2 linked regions of the Tamandua tetradactyla genome follow. The protein of the gene in region 2 purifies or fractionates together with the protein of the main gene of each other region. This does not show direct contact. Links are inferred from orthologs where the notes say so. Each region holds a gene or a part of one and is shown on either strand. Other genes may lie near its edges.

Evidence for each region.
Region 1: the proteins of LNPEP (region 2) and CANX purify together in Homo sapiens (affinity purification with mass spectrometry; 3 studies listed by BioGRID and IntAct, with this or other methods). This does not show direct contact. The link is inferred for Tamandua tetradactyla from reciprocal best matches to the Homo sapiens genes LNPEP and CANX.

The regions. Positions count from the first base shown.
Region 1 is NC_135346.1:1,593,885-1,602,640, forward strand, and holds the start of CANX (calnexin), read right to left. Parts: upstream 4,097-8,756; 5' UTR 3,986-4,096; intron 1-3,985. UniProt on the Homo sapiens protein: Calcium-binding protein that interacts with newly synthesized monoglucosylated glycoproteins in the endoplasmic reticulum. It may act in assisting protein assembly and/or in the retention within the ER of unassembled protein subunits.
Region 2 is NC_135347.1:34,099,093-34,107,857, forward strand, and holds the start of LNPEP (leucyl-cystinyl aminopeptidase), read right to left. Parts: upstream 3,776-8,765; 5' UTR 2,564-3,775; coding exon 2,464-2,563; intron 1,985-2,463; exon of another isoform or gene 1,684-1,984; coding exon of another isoform or gene 1,680-1,683; intron 1-1,679. UniProt on the Homo sapiens protein: Release of an N-terminal amino acid, cleaves before cysteine, leucine as well as other amino acids. Degrades peptide hormones such as oxytocin, vasopressin and angiotensin III, and plays a role in maintaining homeostasis during pregnancy.

The sequences.
Region 1 (8,756 bases), on a different chromosome or scaffold from region 2:
GTAAGAGTGCTTGCCTGCCATGCCCAAGGACCCGGGTTCGATTCCCCATGCCTGCCCATGTTAAAAAATAAATAAATAAATAAATATATATATATATATATACACATGAGATTTCCAATGAACATGAAATACTCTATTTTTAACAGGAGACAGACACTGCTTCGACCTTCGGCAAATCTGAAAATCTAGACAAATGGGCAATTAAAGAAGTAAATGTCAGATCTCAAAGGCAGAAACTTTAACCTCAATAAGGGTCCATTCAGAAGATTTTTTTTTTTAAATGGAGGCTCAAATTATTTTCAGGTTTATTAAATTTAAATTTTTATACTTTGCTCAAATTAAGTCTAATTTTTCCCCAAGGAGTTATTTCTTTGTATTTTAATCAGGTTGAGGAAATTCTTTTATTTCTTGTTTGTTGAGGATTTTTGTCATGAAAGCACTGAATTTTGCCAAATAATGTTCTCCATCTATTGAGATGATCACGTCATCTTTGTCCTTTACTACTGTGGTATATTACATTGATTTTCACATGTTGAACCAACCTTGAATTCTGCTATAAACCCCACTTGATCATGGTGTATAATGCTTTTTATATGTTGCTGGATTCAGTTTGCTGGCATTTTGCTTCTGGTTTTTGCATTGGCTGGTCTGTATTTTCTTTCTTTTTCTTGTGACATCTTTGTCTGGTTTTGGTGTAGGGTTATCTTGGACTAATACAATGAATAGGTTGGGAAGTAGACCCTCTCCTATTTTTTGGACGAGTGTGTAAAGGACTGGTGCTAATTTTTCTGTACTTGGCAGAAATCACAAGTGAAGCCATCTGATCCTGAACCTTATTTGTGGGACTTAGTTTCTTAAAAGAAGTTAGGAAACTGAGTAGTTGCTTCCTGTGACATTTTAAATCCTAACTCCTTGAACCCATGAGACTAGAGAGAGAAACAGAAGAAACTATCCAGTCTAATGCTCCTGGTTGTTTAAATAAAAAAAGGCAGTACATACTAAAAAATAAGGCAGGCTTTCCCTGACGTAACAGATCCATTCTTCTATTTTTATACCCTTTTAAAACGTCAAGGCTTGTAGTTTTTAGACACCTGTGTGTTCTACTTTAATCATCACAATTCTAGGTCAGTACTATCATGCCCATTCCACACATGAGGAAACTAAGTCTAAAGTTACATAACCTATCCAAGAACAAATAGCAATGAGTGTTTATGAGCAGGGACTCCCAAGTCCTGCTCAAGCACCTGACAACTTACAAGCTTAGGTGAATTACTAACCCCTCGGCGTGAGCTGTTTCATCCAGAAAATGAGAATATCAGTATCTACCTCTTAAGACTGCTGCATAGACACCATGCATGCGACATGCCTAGCTTACTTACAGTATATATTCAGCAACAGCTGGGATTTTTTTACTCTTACTAGATATTGTCTAATAACTCCTTTTATTTGTCATATTTTAAAGGTTTCAAAACTCTGAGTTTTAAGACAGTATAAGAAACTCTAAGTCTTAGGTTGGAAAGGAACCATTTAAAAGAATAGCAGTCACAGATGAACCAACTTACTGCTTCATATGGTACCTTCCGGTTTTACCATCATGCATATCTAGTCAAAAACAAAATAATAAAAGGAAATTAAAAGGTAGATAAAATACAAAGTGGTCTTTATTGTAAACGCTCACCCATTTTAAAGTAGATCTTCCAAACTGCCTTGTTGACCTTTATGGATTTTTTCACTGACAGAACACTAGAATGGACTTTTCCATAACATTTTATTTCTTCCTCTCAACTAAGTAAGTTTAAGAAGTGAATACTTGAAACATACTGAAGATCCTCCAAATTCTTTTTTTTTTTTTTGTATGCTGTATAGTAGGGTCACATTTCATTATTTTTCCATATGAGTATCCCATTATTGCACCATTTGTTGAATTTTTGTTTTTTCTTTTGGGAAGTGCATGCACTGGGAACCAAACCTGGGTCTCCGGCATGGCAGGTGAGAATTCTACCACTGAACTACCGCTGCACTCCTCTCCAAATTAATTTAAAACTGTACACCGGTTGCAGTAACAAGGCATTGAACTAGCATTTTTATGATGAAGTTCTACAGTAAACCATATAGACTGACCTATGCTTTGGCACTTTTATTATCTTCCAGGAATTATTAAGAGCTGCCAATTTTCCTAATTGCCCAATTTTCTACACTTTTCAAAGAAGCTTCGTGCTAAGATGGACAAAGGTAAACAGCCTCCTAAAAGTAAGGCATCTGAAGAGACATCTCATTCCCATTTTAAAGATGTGTAAACCAGGGAAGCACATGAGCTAATTACTGTGCTCAGCTTGAGCCTACACTTATGAATTACCAACTGTCATTCCTTTCTTGTAAGATATCTTGCAGGACAAAGTGAACTCTACTGAAAGGATGCAGCAATGTGATTGCCAAAACTGCAGCAATGACTTCTGCCACAATGTTTACTCCGTGGTCTGTGAAAGATAACATGACAGCTGATCTGCCTAGTTAAGATAGTAAGGGGGGTTGGGGGAATGGGGTGGATGGGATGCTGACACCCATTTTCAGATAGGTCTGGAGACTCATTTGCTGTGCAACATTCATGCCAATACTTTTCTCCAGCAGTCACACAATCCAGTTACCTGGACCTTTTCTCATGCCCCTGGCTGGTGGAACGGAGAATTCCCACACAGTTCTTCACCTGTGCTCTACGGATAATTATAGTAAACGTGCAAGGGGGCAGTCGATTCTACTCAGGACCCTCCGACATTGTTACAGGAAGATATAGCATCATTTTAAAGATTGCTACACTGCTTCCCCTTAAAACAAAATCTACTTGTTAAAAAGCTAAGCAAAAACTTCCATTTCTTAAAATTAGAAGAGACGTCACTGTCGTTCACCTCTGTCCTCCCAAGCATTTAATGTTCAGCTCAGTGTAACTTCCCTCAACCAGCATTCACTGGTGTCATGCCAGCAAGTTAATTCACACGCTCCAGTTTCTTCCCCCCAGACCATCAAGGTGTCTTCAAGTCCTGCAAAACAAGACTTGTCCAACTCAAAAACAGGACTGTCAATACAGCGAAACAACATCAAGATTTCAATCATTTATCGCAATCATTATTTATCGAGCATTCGCTATATGAATCAGGCTTCCCTGTCCTATTTTCTAAACATCCTAATGTATTCCTCAACGCCGCCAGATATTATTATATCCACTATTTGCCAAGAACTGGAGCACAAAGGTTATGGAAATTGCCGAAGCTCACAGAGCTAGCGAACCGCCCGGGCGGGATTTGAACCAGGGCCTTACCCTTCGCCACTACACCGAAACGACCTAGCCCTGGATCATACCCTCAACCGCCCGTTAAACCAATCGCATGACCTTGGGCCTGTCGGTTTCCTCCACCGCAGGGCGAGTCGCAACTCCGTGAGCTTTCCCTTTCACTGGGAATTTCCGACGGGGTCACTCCCCACACCCCCGGAGGTACTGCAACGCTAAGACTAAAGTTTCTCAGCCCCCTAGCTAGGTTCTAGTACATTCTCCGACCCCTCGGGGTGCCAGGATCCGGGCTTCGCTCCGAAATCTTATTTTCCAAACATTCCTCAATCTGATCCTGCATCCTCTCCCTCGGCCGGTATTCTCCTTCCCCCTACCGAGAGTGCCGACACGGCGCGATTCCACTCGGGATCTTTCCCCGACGGCTCCAACCCACCCCGCAGCCACTACCAAGAAGAGGCCCAGGAAAGGCCCAGGCGCAAGGCCGGGGCAGCAGGTGGGCCTTCCCGAGGCCGGCGAGGGTCGGTGCACCTGCCACGCCTCCCGGCCCCGGCGGCGCGGCCTGGGCGCGGTTCCCCCGCTGAGGAGGCCCAGGTCCCGAGCTCGCCCCTCATGGCCGCCGCGCCCACCGGGGCCTGGGGCCGGCAGATCCGGCCCAGTGCCCCGACCCCCGGCCTCTGGGGCCCTCGCAAGCCCCCGCCTCACCTCGAGCCTCCCGGGGACCGCCGGCGGCACCCGCGCCTACTCGCGCCTGCACACACGCCCGGCCCCGCGCTGCAGTGGAGACGGCGGCGGAGGCGGCCCGGCCGTCACGTGCCGCAGCTCCCAGAAGCCTCGGCGCGGGCGTCCCGCCCCGCGACGGCCCCTCGCTCGGGAGTGGTGGCGGCGGGAGCCAAGTCCCGCCCTCGCGCGCGAGCTCCGGGCTGTGGTTGGTCAGCGTGGCCATCGCTCGAGCTACCTTCCCAGACGCCTCCTAGGGCTATTCTTCGTGGAGCGCGCCGATTGGCTTGATGCGAGGAAGGAAGTGGCTACCGGCTGGGCGAGCGAGGAGGGGCGGGGCCGGGGACGACGGGCGCGCGCGTCCTGGGGCGGGGCCGGCCCCGATGAGCCGCGCGCTTTAGGTGCGTTGGGTTCGCGCACGCCCTGGGTCCTGATCCTCGGGGCTGGTGGGGAAGGCTTCCCGGGCTGTGGGCCGGCGCGGGGACTGGGCGCCCGGCACCGAGGGCCGCCCGCGGGCCTGGGCTCGAGTCCCCGGCGCGTTCCTGTGCGTCATCACTCCGCGCCGCGGCCGCCTCGTGGCCCGCTTGCAGTGGAGGCCGGTACAGACCTGCCGCGCGGACACGCGGACGACAGGCCCGCGGAAGGCCGGCGCGGCAGAGACGTGGAGACGCGCATAGCTCGCGTCACCCGCCTGCAGCACATCTGCAGTTTCTACTATGCCGAGAAGCTCGGGAAGTGAGAGCGACCCAGGGTTGCTTGAAAACTGGCCCAGGGCTCCGTCTCCCGTCCGCTCTGCTCCCCAAAGGCCGAATCCTCGGTGGAGAATAGCTAGAGCCAGTGGGTGTGTCATAGAAGCCAGGTGGATCTCCCGGAGGGGCATTTGAGGAGTTCAGGGTCTGGCGTTTGCCTTAGTTTCGTTTGCCACCTCTCAGGCTCCAAATGTGCATAAGGGAGTTTTGTTTTTTATTTCCTGCTTAACTGGGAAAGTAGGAATTAAAGGCAACATAATATTTCAAACAAAGGGCTTCAAAGTGAGGTAGAGTGAGCCAAGTCGCTGCTGCAGCAAAGGTTAAGTGCTAAAAGATGGGGGTACGCAAGTGAAGTTGGTGGGGTTCTGATTAGGGAAGAACTGCTTGCATGTAGGATGATGTTTTAGTTTGCTAATGCTGCTGCAGAGCAATATAACAGAAATGGGTTGGCTTTTATTAGGGGGATTTATTAAGTTGCAAGTTTACAGTTCTAAGACCATAAAAATGTGCAAACTGAGGCATTGAGGAAAAGGCCCCTTGACTCAAGAAAGGATGATGGCATGGAATGTATCTCTGTTCGCTGGGAAGGCATGTGGCTGGCATCTGTGGTCCTTTGGCTCCTGGTTTCAAACACCTCACTTGGAGACGTTTTCTTTCTGAATTTCCAAAAGTCTTTACCAGCTCTAAACTTTTTCTCAAATTCTTCTCTCTTAAAGACTCTAGTAAGTGGAGTAAGACCCACTTGAATGGGTAGAGAAATCTCCATGGAAACCACCTAATCAAAATGCACCACCCACGATTGGAAACACTTTAACCAAAAAGTTTAAAAACCAGAATTCCTAGGTCAGATAAATCCTGAAACCCAAAGGGAGCAGCCTCTCCAAGATTATCAGTTTATTTATGTGCCCATATCCTTTGCTGTCCACATCCGTTCTCAACATGAAAAAAGAACAGGCGTTGCCAAAAAATCCCTATAGATTAAGAGGAGGATTAAAGGAGAAGGTATAACAAAGAAAATGGGATTTAATGAGTATGGCAGCTGAATCACTATATTAATATTCCTTCGAACCTCCAGTGTTTTGGAGCAGCTACAAGGAACAATCTAAGATGGTGGAATGGTCGCCCATGACACTTTGGGATCTGTTCTGTAACTATTTGTTGTAGTGTGCTTTGAAAATGATTGCTTTGCTTTGTATATATGTTGTACTTTACAATTTTTAAAAAAAGTTAAAAAAAAAAAAAACCACCCAACAATAGGCCTACCCCCACAAAATGGGATTAAAATAAAGAACATGGCTTTTCTGGGGAACAACAGTTTCAAACCAGCACACATGGCCAGGGAAAGTGAAAACATGGGAGCTGGGCCTCGTAGGCTGTGTGGGTTTTCTGTAAGTAGAGGGTGGGAGGAAGGTTTCTTTAGATGAGGGAACAGCGTGTGCAAAGGTAAGAAACCAAGCAGAGTGTGTTTGTGGACAATGGTGTTCAAGCTGGAGAAGGATGTTCATTAAAGTGAGAGATGGTAAAGTGGCTCCACAGTTGAGCTGGAGCCTGGCTTAGCCAAGGAATTTAGAGGGAGAAATTTCACATTTTAAGTTTGTGTCATGTTTTCAGTGTTGGGGGAAGCCTTATTTTAACCATCATTCCAGGGAGGTCTGAAACAGGCAGGTAAGGAAACCAGCGCTTGCAGTTGATAAGGGGAAAATTCGGAGATGGCTTCCTATGCAGAAATAAAAGCATTAAATATTAATGCTGACAAATGGCCCATTGGACTCAGAAGGCTAAGGAAAGAGAGAAACAAAGCCAGTGCAGAGAGGCTTGGGGCCTGGACTGGAGGTGGTAGAACCCCAACAGAAAGAAGTAATTCAGGCTTGGTTGGACCTGGGAATATGGATTTGGGCCTGAGACAGAGCAGGTCTCGGGATGCGGATTTTTCCACCAGAGCATGATGTTCTTCAGTGTAGGAGGCTGACAATGAACTTGGAAGAAGGAAATTTTTCTTACCAATTCAAAAGGTACCTGCGGCATTAAAATACCTCATTAAAATAAATAAGCATTGTATAGTTCTTAGATGTTAGAGGTGTGGGAAATGGGACTGAATATTTTCTGACCTTATTGTATAACCTGCAAGTTTTTCGAAATGAATTATTTATATCCATTTTGAAATATGCATATCCTTTAACCCAGCAATTGCACCCCTGGGAATATATCCTCATATGTGTATGGAATATATCCACATACTGTTCTGGTAGGTATATACATATAAAATGTATGAACATATAAAGTTATACACACTGCATAATTGTTTTGGTACCAAAGTCCTAGAAAAAATCGAATTGACCAATCATAGAGAATTGGTTAGATGAAGTATGAAAAGCATGAGGTGAGGGTATATATATACTGATGTGGAATGACTGCCAAGACAGTGTTGCGTGAAAAAGTGCTTAGTAAAATATGCTTCTTTCTGTGTTGAAAAGAGAGATATATTCTTAAAAATAAAAGCTTGGACAAACAGGCTCCCTGGAAAACTACAAGAAACTGCTATGAGGGCTTGAGACTCTGGAAGAAAGAAGACATATATACATACATACATATGAGATGCATGTATTATTTTTTCAATAATCAAATAGATTTTTACATATGTAAAAATATGTGCTTAGTTACTAAAAAAAAAAAAAAAAAGACTATTTTAAAACTACTGTAAACAGGGTGGGCCACGGTGGCTCAGCAGGCAGAGTTCTCACCTACCATGCTGGAGACCCAGGTTCAATTCCCGGTGCCTCTCCATGTAAAAAACAAACAAAATACATAAGCAAAACTGTACTGAAGGCATTGATCAATTTATCCTTCCTTTCCAACCTCCTCTTATATATTAAGTTGCCTCCTCCACCTTACAAGATCCCAGAAGAAAAGCCAGCTAGCTCATCCTTACTCATTCTCACCATCCTTTGCTTGAAGGGGAGTGAGGAGCACGGGGAAAGAAGGGGCACCCTACATTTCCATCAGGCCCTTTCTTTCTGGTTAAGCAAGGAACGGTCATTTCCTTCTACCGACACTAATGTGGCAGTGTGAAATTGACAAGCACAGAACAATACGAGATTATTTTAATTGAGGTTTCTTTTATTACAGTGAGGTTAAACATACTAGAAATGGGTCAGTTTTTAACAATGGGGTTTTATTTCTAAGGCCATGAAAATGTCCAAATTAAGGCCTCAACAGGGCAATACCTCTGAGGAAAGCCCTCTGGCAGCCAGGCTTCCTCTGTCAGATAGCAAAGCACTGGTCTACATCTGCTGGTCCTTTGTTCCCAGGTTTCACTGCTTTCAGCTCCTGCTTCCAGTGGCTTCCTCTCTGAGCTTCTGTAGGTTCTCTCTGAGCATCTCCGGAGATTTTTCTCTAAGCTTTCTCGGCTTTTTCTTCCTTTGATCCTCTCATAAAGGACTTCGGTAAAGGATAAAAACCCACCTTAAATTGGGCTGGGTCACATGGCAACTGAAACCTAACCAAGACAACAGGTCTGCACCCACAGGAATGGATTAAAAGAACCTGGCCTTCTAGGGGTACATAACAGCTTCTAACCAGTGCACAGTAAGAAATCTTTATGCATTAGGATAATTAGCTTAGCTACTCTAATTCTTTTTTTCCAGTTTCTTTAAGAGCTTTTTCATTTGGACCTCTTTCTGCCTATAAAGAATAGAAATATATTGAGACTAACTCAAGGAAACTATCAAAGGACACCAAAGAATCCAAGGACAGGAAAAGAAGTATGGCCTTGCCTTTCGCTATCCAGAACTTGGAGGTGGATTGAAGGTTGCTCTTTCTGTCTTAAATTCTCTTTAAGAAGGGAATTTATTAAATTACAAGTTTACAGTTCTAAGGCCATAAAAATGTCCAAACTAAGGCATACAGAAAAAGATACCCTGACTCAAGAAAGGCTGATGTCTGTCACATGGGAAGACACGTGGTGGCATCTGCTGGTCCTTGTTCCCGGTTCCGTTGCTTCCAGCTTC
Region 2 (8,765 bases):
TTTCACTGAAAACAAGTGCAGAAAGCCCTACCAGAATAAGTGAGTACTGAAGGCAGGAATGACAAGACAAACTAAATCTGCCTCCTTTACAAATGGATAGGTCAGAGTATAAAAACAACATTGTCACTAAAAGATATGTGGTCCTGAATTACAGAAACTTTCTTTTGTTAAGTGACACATCCCTCTTCATTATAGGAATATATGAAAGCATAAGTGGTAAAGACTTTAATTAAAAGAGGATGAATGTGTAACATAAGCTAATTAATTTCAAACTTGATAAATCCTGCAATCAGAAATTCTGTGAATAATGAAACACTCTGCACAGAACATACGGACCTACAGGAGAAGTATATATGCATATCATTTGCAGTCAATTAAGTACAAAGATAAACATACTTTCCACTAAACCATGTGATGTTTGAAGACACTAGAAAATTTTACATCTATTCCTTCAAAGGGTCCGAAATAAATACCCAGCCCATCTTCAATGTGAAAATTACCTCAATTTGCTAGCATCTAATTTCTCTTTTTTTTTTAACATGGGCAGGCAGCAGGAAGCGAACCTGGGTCCTCTGGCATGGCAGGCGAACACTCTGCCTGCTGAGCCACTGTGGCCCGCATCTAATTTCTTTTTAACTTAAGATGTGGTTTCTGTTCTCCTTGTTAAAGAACACAAGAAAAGAGTACAAGGGAGGAATAACACATTAACTAAAATGATGTACTGCAAAACTGTCTTCAGTACAGACTCTGAATATATGAAACATAGGCAAGGATTAGAAATCCAATTTCCTACATAGAAGCTGAAGCATTGCTTCCTTTTCTTACCACCCCCCCACCCTGGGATTTTTCCATTGCCCTCCCATATGTGACAATTTTGCAAATATTCACATCTAGAACAGCGTATTCTATGAAAAGAAAACAGGCCCAAATTTTAAGACTTGAGAATGTACTTCAATTCTGTAGAGGCAGGTTCATCAAACGAGCAACTAATAATCTTGAGCAAATGGGTGATGCAGCCATGCTACAGAGATTTTTTCTTTTTTTATTTAGGTGAAACTGTACATTTAAAATCCTACCAACATGGAAGCTACAAGCATTCTATCTAGAACAAACAAGAAATCTATGGAAGAATAAGCACTGGAATATTCAAGCGCAATATTATAATATATATTATAATACTAAAGTGCTAGATGGTCTCTAAGGCTCCAATCAGCTCAAATCTTCCTTGATTCTCTGGATAACTTTACCAGACTACTCTTAGAGCCTTAGTAATTACAAATAGAATTGAAATGAGAAAGAAAATTCAGAATTAAAGTTGTCATTATTAAACCTAATTAATCAGCTCAGACAGAAAGATGGCAGCAGAATAAAGCATTCTGAATTAGGGACAGAGTAGTTATAACGACCCCATGAACGAAGCACAGCATACAACAAAGTCTGGCTGAGGTTTGGGATAGAGTGGACAATGTCTGTCTTTTGACTGGTAACTGACAATTCAAACAGGGATGAGACCGGCCTCGATACTGCTATAGCCTAACTACCTGAAAGTAATGAACCACACATCAACTGGGAAGTGAATCTACTTAATTTTAGCGTGAATTCTCCCTTGACAGTTTTCCTACTTTGTATCCTTAAAAGGCATCCTATACTCAACGCCGCACAATGGTAAGACATCTCACCCATATATTGTGACTCTAGCACTCCTGGTGCAAACAAAAGCCATCGTTTTAATTAGAGATGGGACTCCATTCAGTAAAGCGCCGTGGCAGTTTGCAGGGCATCGTGCAGGCTCCTGCTTTGACTCTCGCCTCAACCCAAATTGTGATATCATCGTGACGGACTCTTGATATTTAACGAGTCTTTGACTGAAAAGCTGATTATCAGGAAGGCAGGAAGCCGAACGCTCTGCAGAGCGCCTCAGCAACAGACAGGAAAGTGGCAATGCGGATAGGCATCTCTCTTCGGCAGAGGGTGAGCAAGGCTTCCCGCAAGTTTCCCCTCCTTCCACTCATTGGTCTGCCAAGGCCCCCACCCCCCCACCGCCCTATTAGGAAAAGTCACGCCGGCAACTCTCTGAAGGACAAGGGGACAGAGCCCGGCGTGCCACAGAAGTTGGGTTTGGCAGGCGCCACGGTTTAACCCTACCATCCCGAAAGCAGGGGCAGACAACTTTCCCGCTGTCCCCTCCTCTGCGCACAACAGCCCAAACTTTGTTGTGCGTCCGTCCGCCCCGCCGCACAGCGGAGCTCTGGGTCCCGGCCACCCCCAGCCACCTCCCACCCGGGGCAGCCCCCCGGCCCCGCGCTGGCCGCTGCCGCCCCCAGCTTCCTACCACCTCCCCTAAACCCAGGCAAGACACCCGCGATGGGGGCAACTGAAACCCGTCCCCGCGTGTCACGGCTGCCGGCAACCCAGAGAGCTTGTGAGAGCCTGACCCCGGCGCCTCGGGCCTCCCACACTCACCATTGGTAAAAGGTTCCATTTTACCCCGCCGCGGCTCCTTGCAGCCGGAGCGCCTAAGACTCCTACTCCGCCAGCTGAAGCGGCCCTGCCGACTGAGCATGCCCAGCGCGGCCGCCGAGGGCTGCCAGGGAGGTGCCGCGAGGGGTGGCGCCGCTCCGCTGCTTCGAGGCTCCGGGTTTTTGCGGTGGCTGCAGGAGGAGGGAGGGAGGCTTGAGGGCAAAGCGAGGCTCAGGCTCAGCCCTCGGGGGACCGGGGGAAAGAAGGCGGAAGTAGAAAGTTAGGCCTAGGGGCCACAAGCCCCGCCCCTCGCCCGAAGAGGCCGCGGCTCTGTTGCTCTCCAAGGCCGAGAACTGCAGCCTGTGGTTCACCAAATGTCAGTGGGCTCCCTGGGCCCGGACCCCGTTCTAGGCTGCGGGAACACCATACTGCGCCTGGAAAAGTCCCTGCTCCGTGGAACGTACATTCCAGAGCAGACAAAAAACAAACACGGAAGACACATGGAGTAAATGTACCGCAAAACATTAAATCGGGGTGGTGGGATGCAGAGTGAGTGGGTGGCTAATTCGAATGGCGTCGGGAGGACAGGACTTGCTGAGCCGGTGCCTCTGAACCAGAGGTTTGAAGACAGAGTAGGAGCCTGCGGGCGAAGGTCGCACTCCGGACCGCGAAGCATCGGTTTCCCTGTGAAGCTGGTCTCCGAGGAGCTCAGTTCGCCAAGGCCCGAGGGAAAGGGCGCCGCAGCTCTCCTCAGCACAGTGGCCCCAAGCGGTCGGTCGCCTGGAGTCCAACGGGAGGGAAGGGAGCCCCGAAGGGCCCAGTGGGCCTAGAGTCGGGTCCTAGGGTTAGCGGCTTCGGGTGCGGCCTCTCGATGCGGGCGGATCACAAAACCCGGCGCCGGATCTCCAGGCCCCGGGCCGCGTGCGCCACAGGATGTGGGCAGAAGGACGGCGGGACCCGAGCCTCGAATCAACACCTGCGGCTCTTGGGTGAGCTGAGGTTGAGGCCGCGCCTTGCTAGGCCCAAGGAGCCGAAACTCCCCTAGTCGCCTCCCCACCCCTCACCCCCACCTCCAGCCCTAGCGCCATGGTGTCCAGCCCCGAGCCACCATTGTTTCCGATGTCGATTCCGGGCACTCCTGGCGAGACTCGGGAACATCTTGAGGCCCCGTTGACCCCTGGGAGGCCCGTGGGGGGCCCCGCTTCTTCCGCCTCCCTTCCTCGCTGTGCGCAGGGCCGCCGTCGCCTCCTCTCCTTGCCCCCTCCCGCAGCCCTGGCCCCTGCAGCGACTTGGCTCGGGCTGCCCCTCGCTGCGCCTGCCAACTGTCACATGCTCCTCCGAGGCTGTCAACAGGGGAGCGTCGGGTGCAAACCAGCCCGCGGCGAGCGCAAACAGCCTGAGAAAACAGAGGTGGCCGGGGTGTCGTTCAATTCGTACAGGAATTAGAAGTTAAATTTTAAAGAAGTAAAATCAAAGTGCGTGGCCATTTGGGATACTGTATTTTAAAATACGAAATGAATATCACCCATCTCCCAATCCCTCTTCAAAAACCTCCAGTGGGCATCAGTTACGCTTAGAATAAGATCGTAACCCCTCATATGCGTCAGGGACCTCGTCTTCTACCCTTGCAGTGCTTTGGCCACAGATGCCTTCATGCCGTTTCCGAAATCTCAAAAAGTTTTATCCAGTAACGTTAGTCATTGCTTTTACCTGTTTCTGTGCAGGAACTGTTCCTTCTGCCTGGTACTTTGCCTGCTGATTCCTTCTTGTCATTTAGGTCTCAACTCAAATGTCACCTCTGTAGAGAGCCTTTCCTGACCACACAATCTAAAATAGCCACAGACAAAATTTGTCTATGTATAGATTTGTCCTGTTTTGTTTTCTTCGCAACTGTCTTCTTCATCACTATCTAAAACAATGCTTTTTGTTTACCGTTTAATTATTGTCTATTTTCCCCTGAAGAATACAAGCTCCAGGAAGGCAGGGTTATTTTACCTTTTCTACAGCTGTTTCTGGTGCCTGGATAAATATGTAATAAACAATTTTTGGATTAATAAGTGAATGAATGCAATGGTATTTAAAGTTCTGGTTCGCTCTTACTGACCAAAACCCTTCCGGAGAATGCGTATTTCTGATCAGTACAGAGAAGTTTTCTGTATGAAAACTCAAGGCTGCTTTCTTGCCACTGCCCCACAGCCTTAGGCTGGCCTGGTGTAGGGAACTTCAGAGCCAAAAATAGGATAGGTTCCTAAGTATTCCCATATTATATGGAAAATTCAGAAAAGGGTTTTATTAAAATGATCTCATAACAAAACACTGTATTGTTTAGATAAGAAACTCTTCCTTAAATTTTAGGTCATGTTCCTTTGAGGTTATTTTTGCAGTCAAAGCACTTAGTATCAGAGATATTTAAAACTCAACAGCTCCTTGAATTACCTCACCTGTAAAGCTATGGTCTATCATGCTTTTATGTGTGAAACACGTTATCTGGTATTTTGTCTGAAGTGTCTTAATTCTGCAGAGACTTGTGGTAAAAATGTTTCACCATCGCACTAGCAAATATAAGTGAATCAAAATGTCTTTCCTAAACAGGCAAGTAATTTCGTTATCCTCTCTTTGCCAATCTCGTCTGCCACACTCCTTGCCCCCAGCCCCACACCCACCCCATCACCACCACAAAGATATTAAGGGGGCATTTAAAGACTTGCAATTCTGTATTGGAGGTTAATTTTTTTTTTAAGTAGCAAAACCAAAATCTGTTCAGAATCCTATCTCCCTCAAAAGAACAATAATAAATTTGTTTTATTCAGTGTTTTCTTGGATGCCATTTTATACTTGACTTAATAAAACTTGTGGCAACATAATTTCAGAAATTTAATATTGAAACCCATTTATGTTTCTTTCTTTGACCTCCTCTCATCCTCCCACACAGAACTTCCTCTTTAAGTTTCTAACACTTTCAGTTACCATGGAAGTTACTATTCATTATCAGAAGAGGTCTGATAATGAATATACCCATGTACTATTTTCAGAATCATTAAACATTTAAAAAACAGAAATTTAGAGGGCTAATAGTAATTGAATGAAAGAAAAAAAATGAGTGCTGTAAATAACCAACAGTGTTATAAAGAACAATAAGCATGCTGGTTAATGAATGTAGGGACATTTTTATCAAAATAAAGTAATTGGTCTGCTCTAGGTCAGATAATCCAAACGTCACATCTGACAGAGAAGGGAATTGAATTCTAGAAAGGTTAGATGATTTACCCTTAATCCAGTCAGGTTGTCTGTGTTCTAAACCAGTGCTCCAGAGTTTGCCATTGCCTCCCTATTCCTGTGAAGAAATTAGGGTCAATGAAAACAATCCACAAAATCAAAGAGGTAAAGAGGAAAACAGCTGACCTACAGGCTACAAGAAGGATATTCCATATCAACTTTGAGTTTAGCATTATTAAATATTTTTTCTAATTTTTCTGAAATAAGCAATATGTCAATTCAGTGCCTATATTTGAAAATGATAGTGTTTGTTCAGCACTCTTTAATAAATAGAGGAAGCGTCTTGCTGCCAGAACCAGCATGACCACAGTGAAGTTTCCAGCCACCCCCAGGCCTTACCCAGCCACCCCCAAAACCAAAGGAATCAATCAATATCTCATTACCCCTGCCACCCATTCACAGATACATACTCAGAATTTATAATTGATGTTGGAAGTTAAACCAAATTAAGAATTGTTTACAGCACTAAGGAAGGGAGAATAATTTTCCAAAAGAATTCTTGTACACTTAGCCATAAGAGAAAGATCCAGCTGAGTAGAGAGAAAAGTCATTACATAGGAAGTGTCATGGTCAGGTTCATGTGTCAACTTGGCCAAGTGGTGGTACCTGTTTGTCTGGTTGGGCAAGCGCTGGCCTGTCTATTGCAATGAGGACATTTCATAGAATTAAATCATGATCACATTAGCTGCACCCACAGCTGATTCCATTTGTAATCAGCCAAGGGGCGTGTCTTCTGCAATGAGTGATGCTTAATCTAATCACTGGAAGCCTTTTAAAGAGGATTCAGAAGAGACAGGCTCTTTTTCCTGCTTGGCTGGCAAGCCTCTCCTGTGGAGTTCATCCAGACCCTCCATCAGAATCGTCGGCTTCAAAGCCTGCCCTGCGGATTTTTGACTCTGCATTCCCGCGGTTATGTGAGACAGTTTTATAAATTTTATATTTGCAAGTGTTTCCTGTTGATTCTGTTTCTCTAGAGAACCCTAACTAATACAGGAAGGAACATTTATGTACTCCTTCAGATGTTTTGGAGTACAAAAACCAAAACCCCATATCAAACTAGTTTACATAATAAGGAAAATTTTTTTTCTCTCTCTTTTTTTTTAACTGTTTTATTAGCCTTGCCTAAACAGGGCCTCAAAAAATTGGTTTAAGACTCAGAGGTGCTTCTCTCCACGGAAATCTTTAGTAAAAAGCGAAAGATTTATACGATCTGAAGAGAAACCAGAGTATACATAATAAGGAAATTTATTATCTCCCATAACGTGCAGAGAAAAGACAATCTCCAGTTATAGTTCTACAATCTCAAGAACTCATCTTTTCACTCTCTCCACCCTGTGGCCTCAGTGTGAGTACTTTTCCAAGACACTGACTGCCATGCGGTCAAGAGGCGGCCGGGGAAGAAGAAGCAACTTTCTCTTTAGTGTCTCTTAAGAAGCGTAAAGAAACTTTCTCAAAAATACTCTTATTTGCCAAAGCTGTGTTTCATACATTTCTAAACCCACCACTGGAAATGAAAATGTGGATACTTCCAGACATGGTGGCTTGGAGTTACGTACCCAAGAAAAACATATTCTTAAACTTAATCCATTCTTATAAGTGCCAACCCATTGTAGATAGGACCTTTTGATGAGGTTACTTAAGTTGAGGTGGCCCAACTGGATCAGGATGAGTCTTAATCCTAATAGGTCCTTATAGTGAAGGCCACAAAGAGAGAAGCCATGGGGAGCAGCCAGAACCTGGAAGTCAACAGAACCCAGAAGAGAAAGACTCTCTACGCGCTTTGCAATGTGGCAGAAAAGCTAAGGCTGAGGGATGAATGGAAGCAGCCTCAGAATGCCACAGTCTTTGGGGAGAAACAAATGCCTTGCTTGATTTTGGGCTTCGTGTAGCTTCAAAACCAAGAGCCATAAATTCCCATTGTTTAAGCCAGCCCATTGTACGGTATTTGTTTTAGCAGCCCGGAAACTAGAAACACTGTGATTGGCTTCTCAGATAAAGCACAGTTCAGGAGTGCTGAATTTAGAATCACCTCCCTCATTTCATATGGGAGAAGAAGAGGTACTAGCACAGAATGGGAGGAAATATTTGCAAATCATATATCTCATGAGGTATTTGTAGCTAAGTATTAAAAAGAACTATTATATCTCATAATAAAAAGACAAAGCCAGTTTAAAAATGAGCAAAGGATTTCAGTAGACATTTCTCTAAAGAAGATATACAAATGGACAATAAGCACATGAAAAGGTATTCAACATCATTACTCATCCAGAAAATGCAAATCAAAATCACGAGATACCACTTTGATGCACTAGGATGAATATTTCAAAAAGACAAATAATGTGATGGCAAAGAAACAGAATTTGGGGTCCTCACACACCACTTGTGGGAATGTAAAATGGTGCAGCTGCTTTGGAGAACAGTCTGGCAGTTCTTCAAAAGGTAAAACATATAACCCAGCAATTCCACTCTAGGTGTACACCCCAAAGAATTGAAAACATATATCCACAAAAAAACTTGTACATTAATGTTTATAGCAGTATTATTCATAATAACTCAAAATGGGAAATGACCCAAATGCCCATCAACTTATGAATATATAAAGAAAATGTGATATAGCCATGCAATGGAATATTACTCCGCTATAAAAAAGATGGAGTATTGAGACATGCTACAACGTGGATGAACCTTGAAAATGTTATACTTAATGGAAGAAGCCAGTCACAAAAGACCACATATTGTATGAATCCATTTACATGAAATGTCCAGACTGGACAAATCTACAGAGACAGAAAGTAGATGTGACTGGGGAATGACTGCTAATGGGTATGGAGTTTCTTGTAGGGATGATGAATATATTCTAAAATTGATTGTGGTGATAGTTGCGCAACTCTGTGAATATACTGAAAAACAGTGAATTGTAAGCTTTAAATTAGTGAATTGTATGGTATGTGAGTTATATCTCAATAAAGCTCTTATATGTAGATAAATAGAATTTGAAGTTATGGATTTAGAATCACCATATATTGTCA